Macaca fascicularis: one gene and its partner. The protein of the gene in region 1 interacts with the protein of each later gene in a pairwise test. Links are inferred from orthologs where the notes say so. Each region holds a gene or a part of one and is shown in the gene's direction. Other genes may lie near its edges.

What was found. The genes of interacting proteins can lie anywhere in the genome.
Region 2: the proteins of PSMA1 (region 1) and TRIM10 interact in binary tests that used the Homo sapiens proteins (3 or more experiments, as listed by UniProt). The two-hybrid records come from large-scale screens. The link is inferred for Macaca fascicularis from reciprocal best matches to the Homo sapiens genes PSMA1 and TRIM10.

Annotation. Positions count from the first base shown.
Region 1 is NC_088388.1:51,243,881-51,249,951, forward strand, and holds part of PSMA1 (proteasome subunit alpha type-1), read left to right. Parts: intron 1-214; coding exon 215-303; intron 304-814; coding exon 815-885; intron 886-1,001; coding exon 1,002-1,131; intron 1,132-4,052; coding exon 4,053-4,132; intron 4,133-6,071. UniProt on the Homo sapiens protein: Component of the 20S core proteasome complex involved in the proteolytic degradation of most intracellular proteins. This complex plays numerous essential roles within the cell by associating with different regulatory particles.
Region 2 is NC_088378.1:142,513,852-142,519,826, forward strand, and holds part of TRIM10 (tripartite motif-containing protein 10), read left to right. Parts: intron 1-353; coding exon 354-449; intron 450-973; coding exon 974-1,204; intron 1,205-2,191; coding exon 2,192-2,214; intron 2,215-2,527; coding exon 2,528-2,643; intron 2,644-4,133; coding exon 4,134-4,166; intron 4,167-5,387; coding exon 5,388-5,905; 3' UTR 5,906-5,975. UniProt on the Homo sapiens protein: E3 ligase that plays an essential role in the differentiation and survival of terminal erythroid cells. May directly bind to PTEN and promote its ubiquitination, resulting in its proteasomal degradation and activation of hypertrophic signaling.

The DNA of each region.
Region 1 (6,071 bases):
GCTAAAAAATATTTCAGTATTTTTTAAAAACCTTATGTGGCTCCAGAGTTTGGCACAAAAACGCACCCTTGCAGGCATGTCTTTCTTACCTTCTGTCTGTCTTATATGGATGTGATCCATGTAAACACTTGGAATAATGAGAAGTGAAATCAAACGATTTAGATTGGAATAGTTGTCTATAATCTGCAATTACTAAACTTTGTTTCTTTTTTAGTAATTTTATGCGTCAGGAGTGTTTGGATTCCAGATTTGTATTTGATAGACCACTGCCTGTGTCTCGTCTTGTATCTCTAATTGGAAGCAGTATCCTTTTTATGTTAGCATTTATGGATATGAACTTTGAAGGGTTTTGATACTTCTGTTAATTATTAGGAATATGATAATAACATGACATAGGTAAGATTGTGAAAACTTTAAAACAACAAATTGGGTTGCTCTTTCATTAGCCTTTATAAGCAATTGATATTTGCTAGACATAGATAAGCCCAACTTCAGGAAAATTAAGCATCTTTTTAGAGGGGATTTAAAGTTTCCTAATGGTTCTAGATGTCCCAAGAAATCCTAGACCCCTTGTATCCAAAACAAATCAGGTTTTACATGGGAAGAAATCATTTTGTTGGCACTCTTTCTTAGATTTGGTAGAAAGGCAAACATTTTATATTAGGCCAAAGAAATAGTGTCCTTTTGCGTTATTTCTCTGGTGGATTATATAACAATTAAGGAATAAGCCAGATACCTTTGTTAATAATGTATAATTTGAAAATAAAGATAGTACTTCATTCCTTGTTAAAACAAGCTCTTTAACCAGTCTAAGAGACCCAGATACCAACACAACGATATGGCCGGAGACCATATGGTGTTGGGCTGCTTATTGCCGGTTATGATGTAAGTTCATTGAATATTGTTATATGTTAATGATTTTTTTTATTAACTAGAAATTTTTATAAATTTTAGTTCAACCAACATAAATAATTATGTGGTGTATTTATTTCTATTTGTAGGATATGGGCCCTCACATTTTCCAAACCTGTCCATCTGCTAACTATTTTGACTGCAGAGCCATGTCCATTGGAGCCCGATCCCAGTCAGCTCGTACTTACTTGGAGAGACATATGTCTGAATTTATGGAGTGTAAGTGATAGCCTTGCTTTTTTTTTTTTTTTTTGGCCTCTTCCAGTCTATATAGTAAATAAATATAGTATCCTAACTACATAAAACTATCAGTCTTACAGAAAGAATTTTTTTTTAAAATTAAGCCCCAGAAGAGTTTGTTTCTGTCACATATACTAACTTCAACTTCTGGTTACCGCCAGAAGTTAAAATTGATACCGTAGTTTCAATCACGACTAGAACTTTTTCAAAATATAAATGTGTTCCCAACCTTGAAAATTCTTGATTCAGTTGGTCAGAAGTGTGCCCTGTGGAGTGGAGAGTGGAGAACCACTATACTACCTGCCAGTTGTAAGCTCTGTTCACTTTTAGTTTTCTGTGAGTCTTATTTTAAGCCACACAGACATTTCTGCATTAGTAGTCCATAAACAAGAAATAAAAAGGCAGTGTAGCTGAGGGAAAAGAAGGTAAAAGAGGTAAGATATTATGACAGGGCAGGTTTTCAAGTGCTTTGCTTTGCTTTGCATTGGAAGGAGGATATTGGGTTTTACATTTCTTTGTCATCTTATCTGTTTTCTGGTGACATAGCATTCTTTGGAGGAAATATTTGGGGTTTAGTGAATGCAGAGAAAAATAGTTTAATTGACATTACTCAAAGCAAACTGTTGTAGGATGACAATAGGTTTAACTTTGGGAAAAGAGGATTCCTTGGACAAATAAGCTTGGTAAATGCTTGCTTAAAGTTTAACATTTTAAATTATGGTAAATGGATTGGGGTCCCCAAGGTTACCCCTAAATTGGGAGATTTGCTAGGACTTAAAGCACTCAGCATATGGTTGTACTCCCAGGTTAAGACTTATAACAATAAAATAACAATACATAGGTGGATCATTAAGGAAAAATACAGTCCAGAGGAATCTATGTGCAGGCTTTCTTATGCTCTTTCCTTCCCAGAAGGAGTCACAGAGTACACTTGCAGCAATATGTATGTGACGTTTCTGCCCAGGGAAGCTCATTGGAAACTCAGTGTCCAGTTTGATTCAGAACTGCTCATATCGGCACCCTCTGCCTAGCACATTTCAACCTGCATAGGAAATTCCTAAAGATTGCAATAAATCCATAGATAATTTTGGGGAGTACTGTTACTTAAATGATACAAGGCATCTGATCCATGAACATGGAATATCTTCATTTATTTAGGTATTTAATTATTTTTTTCTTTTTTTTCTTGAGACGGGGTTTCGCTCTTCTTGTTGCCCAGGCTGGAGTGCAATGGCACAATCTTGGCTCATTGCAACCTCTGCCTCCCGGGTTCAAGCAATTCTCTTGCCTCAGCCTCCTGAGTAGCTGGGATTACAGACTCGCCACCACGCCCAGCTAATTTCATATTTTTAGTAGAGTCAGAGTTTCTCCATGTTGTTGGTCAGGCTGGTCTTAAACTCCCAACCTCAGGTGATCCACCTGCCTCGGCCTCCCTAAGTGCTGGGATTACAGGCATGAGCCACTGCACCCGGCCAGGTATTTAATTCTTTCACTGATGTTTTGTAGTTTTCCATGTACAAATCATATTTGTGTTATAAGTATTTTATTATTTTTGGTGCTGTTGTGAACAGAATTGTGTTCTTAATTTCATTGCATATTATTCATTGCAACTACGTAGAAATACAGTTGATTTTTGTATATCAATCTTATATCTTGCAATCTTGCTGAACTCGTTTATTAGTTCTAGTCATTTTTTTATAGATTCCTGAGATCGTGTCATCTGGGAATAGAGATAGTTTTACTTTCTCCTTTCTAATTGCCCTGGCTGGAACCTCTGGTACTAATGATGAATAGAAGTTGCATGAACAAACATTCTTTTCTTTGTTCCTTAACTTAAGGGAAAAGCTTTTAGTCATTCACTATTAAGAATGATGTTACCTGGCCGGGCGTGGTGCCTCACGCCTGTAATCCCAGCACTTTGGGAGGCCAAGGCAGGTGGATCACGAGGTCAGGAGATCGAGACCATCCTGGCTAACACGGCGAAACCCCGTCTCCACTAAAAATACAAAAAATTAGCCGGGCGTGGTGGTGGGCACTTGTAGTCCCAGCTACTCGGGAGGCTGAGGCAGGAGAATGGCATGAACCCGGGAGGCAGAGCTTGCAGTGAGCCGAGACTGCCCCACTGCACTCCAGCCTAGGCGACAGAGCGAGACTACGTCTCAAAAACAAAAATGATGTTACCTGTCAGCTTTTTGTAGATGCCCTCTATAAGAGGTTGCTTTCAATTACTAGTTTTGTGTTTTTATTATGCAAGGATTTTAGGTTTTATCACATGCTTTTTATGCATCTCTTGAGGTGATTATGCAGGTTTCCCCCTTCTGTTAACGTGTGTTACACTGACTTTCAGTTGTTAAACTAACTTATCATTCTTGGGATAAATCTCGCTTGTCTATGGTATATAATTTTTTAATATGTTGCCAGGTTCCATTTGTAGTTTTTGTTGAGGGTTTTATTTTTTTATTATTGTTATTATTTTTTGCATCTATATTGGGTCTGTAGTTTTCTTTTCTTGTGATGTCTTTATTCTTGGTATCAGTAATACTGGCCACATAGAATAAGTTGGAGATTCCTTTTTACAATGAGCAAATATAGGGACTAGGATTCTACAGAACACATTCTACAAAACTTGGAGTTGTATAATTTGTTGTCGGGATTTTGATTTGACCTAGCAAAAGAGAAGATCAAAATTGTAACAGAAATAATGAGTCCTCTCATTAAATAATGATCAGCAATGTCACAGAATGCTATTAAAAGATTGTATGACTAGCATTAAACTTGGCTGTTTTTACTGTGATAAATTTAGTGTGTAACTAAAAACCACAATTTCAGACTGTAGATTTGATCAATAACAGAAGCCTAACAATGAAATTAAGAAATAATTGTTGATTTATTACATATAGGCAATTTAAATGAACTAGTTAAACATGGTCTGCGTGCCTTAAGAGAGACACTTCCTGCAGAACAGGACCTAACTACAAAGGTAAGTATTGTCTTTTCCAATTGTAGATATTAATGTTACAGTTTAAACCTTTATTGCATAAATGTAATGGAGTATATATACAATATTCTTTAATTTGGGATATGATTGTCTTGCAGATTCTTTCCCTTTAAGCTATTTGCTAAGTAATCCAATTTTATTTTTTAAGCATTTCTTTTTGGTACAAAGCAGTAAAACCAGTAAATCTCATGCAAAATGTCCTTCGTTATTTTCAGCAGATTGGCCTATCTTGGTATTATTTAGTTAACAAAAATATATATATATTGAGCATCTACCATGTGCAGGCACTTTCTAGGCATTCAAAATATAGTAAACACAACAAATACCTTTTCCTTCATGGAACATACATCCTAGTAGGGAAAGACAGTATACACATAAGTATATTATATAGTATATTAGAAGAAGATAAATGCTATGTAAAAAATAAAAAAGGGTAAAAGGAGAAAGAATGACTTAATTGGATGTAGGTAGGTGGTCAAGGATATTTTCACCAAGAAAATTAAATTTGAGGAAAAGATATAAAGGAGGTAAGTGAGTGTGAGCTATGCAGATGTCTAGAGCAAAATTATTCTAGGAAATACAAATGCAAAGGCCCTAGTATTGAAGGCAAGGAGGCCAGTAGTGTTGGGATCTATCATCAAGAGGAAAAGGAAAGAAATCAGAGAGGTAATGGAGGTCCCATAAGGCATTGTGGGTACTCTGCATTTTACTCTGAGTGGGCTATTAAGAGTTTGAGCAGAGGAATACCATGATTTGGTTTAGGTTTTAAAACAGTCACTCTGGTTGGCATTTTAACAACAGATTGTGGGCTGGGCGTGGTGGCTCATGCCTGTAATCCAAGCACTTTGGGAGGCTGAGGTGGGTGGATCACTTGAGGTCAGGAGTTTGAGACCAGCCTGGCCAACATGGTGAAACCCCGTCTCTATTAAAAATACAAAAAATTAACCAGGCGTGGTGGTGCATGCAGTCCAACCTGGGTGACAAAGCAAGACTCCATCTCAAAAAAAAAAAAAAAAAACATTGTAGGGGTAGATAGATAGTGGGGCTATGGGTAGAAATAGTTTTAAGGCTATTCAGGTAATTCATGTGAGAGATGATAGCGATTGGAACAGAGTGACAGAGTTTAAGATGAAGAGTAGTGGTTCAATTTTGTATATCTTTTGAAATTACAGCCAAAAAGTTTGCTAATAGATTTGTGGTAGGGTGTGAGCGGGGAATGTCTCTGAGGTTTTGGGCCTGATTAATTGGAAGGAAAGATTTATGATTTACTGAGGTGAAGAAGACAGTGGGAGGAACAGGTTTTAAAGTAGGCGTTGGGGAGGAAGGTCAGGCAGTCAGTTGTGGACATGTAAAATTTGAAATGCCTTTTTGTCCAATTGACGGTACAGAGTAAGCAGTTATAAGCAACCAATGGAGTTCCACAGAGAGTGGTCCAACCTACATTTCAAATTTTTGAAGTCTTTATATAGAAATGGCATTTAGAGTCTGGACTGGAAGAGATTCCTAAAGGAATTGAATAGTTAGACAAGCATTATGAGGACTGGACCAAGAACACTCTAACCTTTAGCGACAGGGAGATGAGTAGGTATTAGCAAAAAAGACTGAGAAAGGTGGTCAAAGAAGTAGGAGGAAAACTTGGAAAATAAGGCATTGGAGGCAAATGAATAAACTTTCAAGGAGGAAGGGCAATGAAGTTGTCACTAAGGACTTGACAAGACAACCTTAATGGAATGATAAGGCAAAAACGTGATAGTGGAATCAGGAGAGAATGGGAGATGAGGAATTGGAGATAGCTCTTTGGAGGATATTTTCTGTTGACGGTCCACAGAAATGGAGTGGTGACTGGAAGAGGAGAGATAAATTGTTTTTTGTTTTGTTTTGTTTTGTTTAAGATGGAAGAAATTACATCACATTTGCTGCA
Region 2 (5,975 bases), on another chromosome or scaffold:
TGATTTCAGTGCAGGGCATATCAAACTCAGGACAGACCCCAGATACCACTTACCCGAAGCAAAACACAATAGAATGTTTAACCTGAAGAAAGACTCAAGTGCGAAAACCAAGTCACAGCCTCTAGTGGCACAGGAGAAAGGGGAAAGTCCTGACCCAAAGTCGTGGAGACAAATCAAGAGGAACAGACCTAAAGGGACTAAGCTGTCAGGGTGGTGGAGGCTCGGGGATTGTCAGCTAAGGAAGAGACTCCTCTCCTGGGGCCACTTCATTCCTGGAGGCAGAGGCTCAGATGACAAGACAACCCTGAACAAATAAATATCCATCTTGAGTATTTTATGTTCCTTCTCCCCAGGAACAAATACATAAGTGTCTTAAATGTCTAAGAAAAGAGAGAGAGGAGATTCAAGAAATCCAGTCAAGAGAAAATAAAAGGATGCAAGTCCTCCTGGTAAGTCATCACCCCTTCCCCAGGTTCCTCCCCTTCCTCAAGGTCCAATGTCTTCCTGAAACTGAGGCAACATAGATTATAGGGCTTTGAAGTTATTATGAGTTTAAATCCTGACTCTGACACTAACTCTATGACCTCAAGCAACTCTCTAACTTCAGTTTACTTATCTGTAAAATGGAGAGTAAAAATCATCATGATCTCATTGAATTACTGTAAGTATTAAATGAGACTGTGACTGTAAAGTAGCTCAGGGCTGCGCACATAGTGTGCTTTTCATACAAGACAGGAGGTAGGGTGTCCCCACCACCTCCTCCTACACCTCCTGTAAGTCCTACCCTCTTTTAGAAGCTGCAGCAGATGGTGCTGAGACAGCACTGTGAGTCTTGCTCCCTGAAATGGGATGACAGGTGAAGAGGAAACCATGATACAGTTCCAGATCTACCTGGGGACAGGGTAGGAGGAAGAGGAGCAGAGGGAGAAGGAGGAAGCAAACTTTCTCTTGGGCTCTCCTCCTGCCCCCTCAGACTCAGGTGTCCACCAAGAGACAACAGGTGATTTCTGAGTTCGCACACCTGAGGAAGTTTCTAGAGGAACAGCAGAGCATCCTCTTAGCACAACTGGAGAGCCTGGATGGAGACATCTTGAAGCAACAGGATGAATTTGATTTCCTGGTTGCTGGAGAGATCTGCCGGTTTAGTACTCTTATTGAAGAACTGGAGGAGAAGAATGAGAGGCCAGCAAGGGAGCTCCTGACGGTGAGGCCTGAACCTGAACCCTGCCCCACCTGTGCTGTCCTGTGACTCTTGTATCTTTGCCTTGCCTAAGTCATGTCTCCCTGACTCACACATCTCCGTATCCCAGATGGGAGGTAGGTCAGAGGACCAGAAGGTCTCAATTCTGGTTCATGCTTTTCCAAGTGTTCCCTGGTCACTTTTTGCTCTTTGGTCTCCACCTCTCCATCCCACCATCTGCCAAAAAAGGAGGATACTTCCCTTAAATATTTCACAGGGCTTTTGTGAGGATCCAACAGTGAGATGGAAGTGAAAGTAGCACTTTGAAAAGTATTAAGTACATTGCAAACCATTCTCTATAGCCTACATGTCACCATCCACCAGTCAGGAAGTTTGTGCTGGTCTATTTCACTTCCTCACACTGGAGGAGAGATATTGGGGTCCCCATAAGGTATTGGATAGGCAGCATGACTTAGAAGGATGCCCTCAGGACTGAGAAACAGGAGACCTTGGTATGAGACTTACTTTGCCTCTAATGAGCAGGGGAAGGTCACCTCATCATCTGTATCTAAAAAATAAAGGCTTTGGGCTCTGATCCCCAGAGGTGGGTGAGTCCTAATGCTCTGTGACTCTACACATCTGGTATCCTTTTCCTGTTCAGGGCTAGAAATGTATTTTGTATTTTCCAGTCATAAGAAAAGTGGGAGGTACCTGGGCAACATAACAAAATCCCATCTCTACCCCCCAAAAAAAAAAAAAAAATTAGCCAGGCATGGTGCACACCCTTGTAGTCCCAGCTACTCAGGATGCTGAGGTGGGAGGATCCCTTGAGCCCAGGAGGTTGAGGCTGCAGTGAGCTGTGATCACGCCACTGTATTCCAGCCTGGGCACCAGAGTGAGACCCTTTCTCAAACAAACAAACAAAAAATAAATAAATAAAATAAAAATTTAAAAAAGAAAAAATGGAAAGGAGAAGCTGGAAACTGAATCCCTGGTTTCTCTTTCTCCTAGGATATCAGAAGCACTCTAATAAGGTAAGCAATATAATTTCTCTCTTTTCTTTTTCCATATAAATATACACGCATGTACCGCATGCCTAGTTATTGCCACACAAGTATATAACATTCTCATTTAAGAATGTAAATTTATGTATAAACCTCTATATACCCAAATGCCTTCTCAGGTATACCCATAGATGCCCAAAAATGGGCAGTGGGATTCATCCATAGGAAGTATGTCTGCCTGCGGGAACTAGCACCTTCATGCCATTTTAGAAGATGACCGGCTGAGTCTGGAGACATTATTAAGGATGATAATTCCCAGACCCAATCATTTCTGTGCCCCTAGATGTGAAACCAGAAAGTGCCGGAAACCAGTGGCTGTGTCCCCAGAGCTGGGCCAGAGGATTCGGGACTTTCCCCAGCAGGCCCTCCCACTACAGAGGGAGATGAAGATGTTTCTGGGTAAGAGAATCCCAGGCCTCCACAGAGCACAGGTGGCCATGAAGCCCGGGTTTAGGAGTGGACTCCACGCTCCACTGCTGAAAGGTGTGACTTTAGCAAGGTTTATTCGTTCCTGTGCCTTGATTTTCTTATTTGCAGATTTTTATAAAATCTGCTTATTAGGATACTGTGACGATGAAGAAAGAGAATAAAGGTGAATATTTCTGGTGAAAAAGTTAAACTGATCTTAAAATAATTCAACAAATCTGATCAGTAGTCATTAAGAAATATGAAAGATAAAGCCTGTAATCCCAGCACTTTGGGAGGCCGAGACGGGCGAATCACGAGGTCAGGAGATCGAGACCATCCTGGCTAACACGGTGAAACCCCGTCTCTACCAAAAAATACAAAAACTAGCCGGGCGAGGTGGCGGGCGCCTGCAGTCCCAGCTACTCGGGAGGCTGAGGCAGGAGAATGGCGTAAACCCGGGAGGCGGAGCTTGCAGTGAGCTGAGATCCGGCCACTGTACTCCAGCCTGGACGACAGAGCCAGACTCCGTCTCAAAAAAAAAAAAAAAAAAAAAAAAAAAGAAATATGAAAGATAATGATTAACAGTATATCATTCTTAATAAATTTAAAAATCCCACAGCAACATTTGTAATACGTGATAAGTTTTTGATGATGAGCATTGTTAATTAATAGCCAGCCACAGTATTTATCTTGACCCTGTGGTAGCTGGCCCGTCCCTCCCTCCTTCTCACTTTCCTTCTGTAAGTCTGGCTCTCAGAGTTGGACAGTCCTGTGGGGACTGTGCTCCATTTCCTTTTCCGGAACAGGGAGTGGTGGTAAGGGGCGGGAGAGGGTTTGGAACGAGAGTCAGGAATGGGATATGGAATATGGCTCTCTGCCAACCACCTCCTCACTAACTGTGACAGAATGAATGATGACACCAATTTTTAAATGACTCACCCACAGTGATGTCACCCTAGAAGGACTTTTCCCATAAGTCCATTTCCTGCAAATACTTCCAGTGGCCTGGCAGTGAGAGAAATTTTACTCTAATCAAAGACTGACCTTTGACTCTCCCCAAAATTATTTCCAAGTGGAATAATAAATAAATGAACCCATTTCTCTATTCATTAAGCTGATATTTCTTCAGCATTTACTATGTCCTGGGCTCTGCGGGTACAGAGGTGAGCAAGGCAGACATGGTCCCTGTTTGCTCAGGGCTGGGGCAGTGGGGTTCCCAGCAGCAGCAGCATTGCCCAGGAACTTGTTACAAATACAGATGTTCAGCTTCACCCCAGAGCACCTGAATCTGAAACAGGCGTGTTTTAGCAAAAGTGCTCCAGATGATTCTGATGCAAGCTTGGAACCACTGGCCTAGAGGATTCCAGCTTCCATTCTTCTTGTTGTCGCTTCCCTCTTCTGGGCCTCAGTTTCCTCGTCATTAAGTGTCTGATGGTTTTGTAAAACTAATAAAATCTCATCCTGGTTTATTTTCTTTACAGAAAAACTACACTTTGAGTTGGACTATGAGCCAGGTAAGCAGCCTATGTCAGGATGGGAGAGAATGAGAAGTCCTTGAAAAGGAGAGACAATTTTGCAGGATTCTATCTGGGCACTACAATAGTCATAATATACACCCATGCATACATATGCACATCATAGATATTACATATGCACATATGTGCTTGTATAGAATACGTGTGTGTATATATGTGTGGGTGTGTGTCACATTCTTTGTAAGGCTCTCAGGAGAACCATGAAGAAAGGACAAGCACATACACATACTACATTCGTGGTACAAAGCTCACATCCTGAGCTGCACATGCTGAGTAGATAGAAAGATTAACACAGAATGGGATAAGGTCCATTTGGGAATGCTTTCTGCATAAAGGGGACTTTGATCTGGGTTCATAATCACATCTTTAGAACTGTGAAGAACCCCTGCTTCCTCTCAGATGTCATTTCACAGATGACAGAAGGAGGGTGGCCTGTGGGTGGGAAAGAAATGAACAGAAGGGACCCCTTCAAGGCTGTCGTTTCTCAATCAACCAGCCTAAGAACCTGGGAGTCACAGAGTTGTTGGAGGGGGTTCTCTAACCCATGGATGGGCCTAAATTTATGGAAGCTTCTCAATTTATGAATACTAAAAGTAACAAAATGCAAAGCTCTGCAGCAGCTTTTGGTGTTAGAAAGTGGTCCTCAGACTCTGACAGTTTCAGAATTACTGAGGCAGAGTGAATAACCCAGGCGTGAGCCAGAGAGCCTGCCAAGAGGGAAGACTATAAATGAGTCACCAGTGCCCTGGGAGGAAAGCAGGGAGGAATCATGAAGTTTGGACTGAAGGGAGAAATGTCTCTGCACTCCGGGATAGAGACAGGAGGAGGGGAGAATGTGGTGTATTGGCCCCAGGAGAGCCGAGCTGGCACACACAGCTGTGGAAACTAACCAATTTACGATGAGCAGAAGAGCTTTCCCAAGGACCACATGGAACTAAACGAGAGCTTTCACATCCTCTGAGGCAGGCTTTTCAGGCTTTACACGTGCACGAATCACCTGGGCATCTTGTTAGGATGCAGATTCTGAGAGTGTATATCAAACAAGTTCCCAGGTGATGCCACACTGTTGGTCCATGTAGGCACTAGACCTGTTTTTGGTAATAATAACACTAACAGGTGGGGCCCAGGGGGAGTTTCTAGGCCTTCCTCGGAGGTGATGGCATGTCTGCTGACATCTGTCCCTTTTGGTTATCCCCACAGCTCACATTTCTCTAGACCCTCAGACTTCCCACCCCAAGCTCCTCTTGTCCGAGGACCGCCAGCGGGCTCAGTTCTCCTACAAATGGCAGAACTCGCCAGACAATCCCCAGCGTTTTGACCGGGCCACCTGTGTTCTGGCCCACACTGGCATCACAGGGGGGAGACACACGTGGGTGGTCAGTATAGACCTGGCACACGGGGGCAGTTGCACCGTGGGCGTGGTGAGTGAGGATGTGCAGCGGAAGGGAGAGCTTCGACTGCGGCCAGAGGAGGGCGTGTGGGCTGTGAGACTGGCCTGGGGCTTCGTCTCGGCTCTGGGCTCCTTTCCCACACGGCTGACCCTGAAGGAGCAGCCCCGGCAGGTGCGGGTGTCTCTTGACTATGAGGTGGGCTGGGTGACCTTCACCAATGCTGCCACCCAAGAGCCCATCTACACCTTCACTGCCTCCTTCACTAGGAAGGTCATTCCCTTTTTTGGGCTGTGGGGCCGAGGGTCCAGTTTCTCCCTGAGCTCCTGAGAAGGAGCAGTTACCTACCCTCCTCTAAGTACAGGACTCAAATCAACCCAAGAACCACGTGGACTTGATC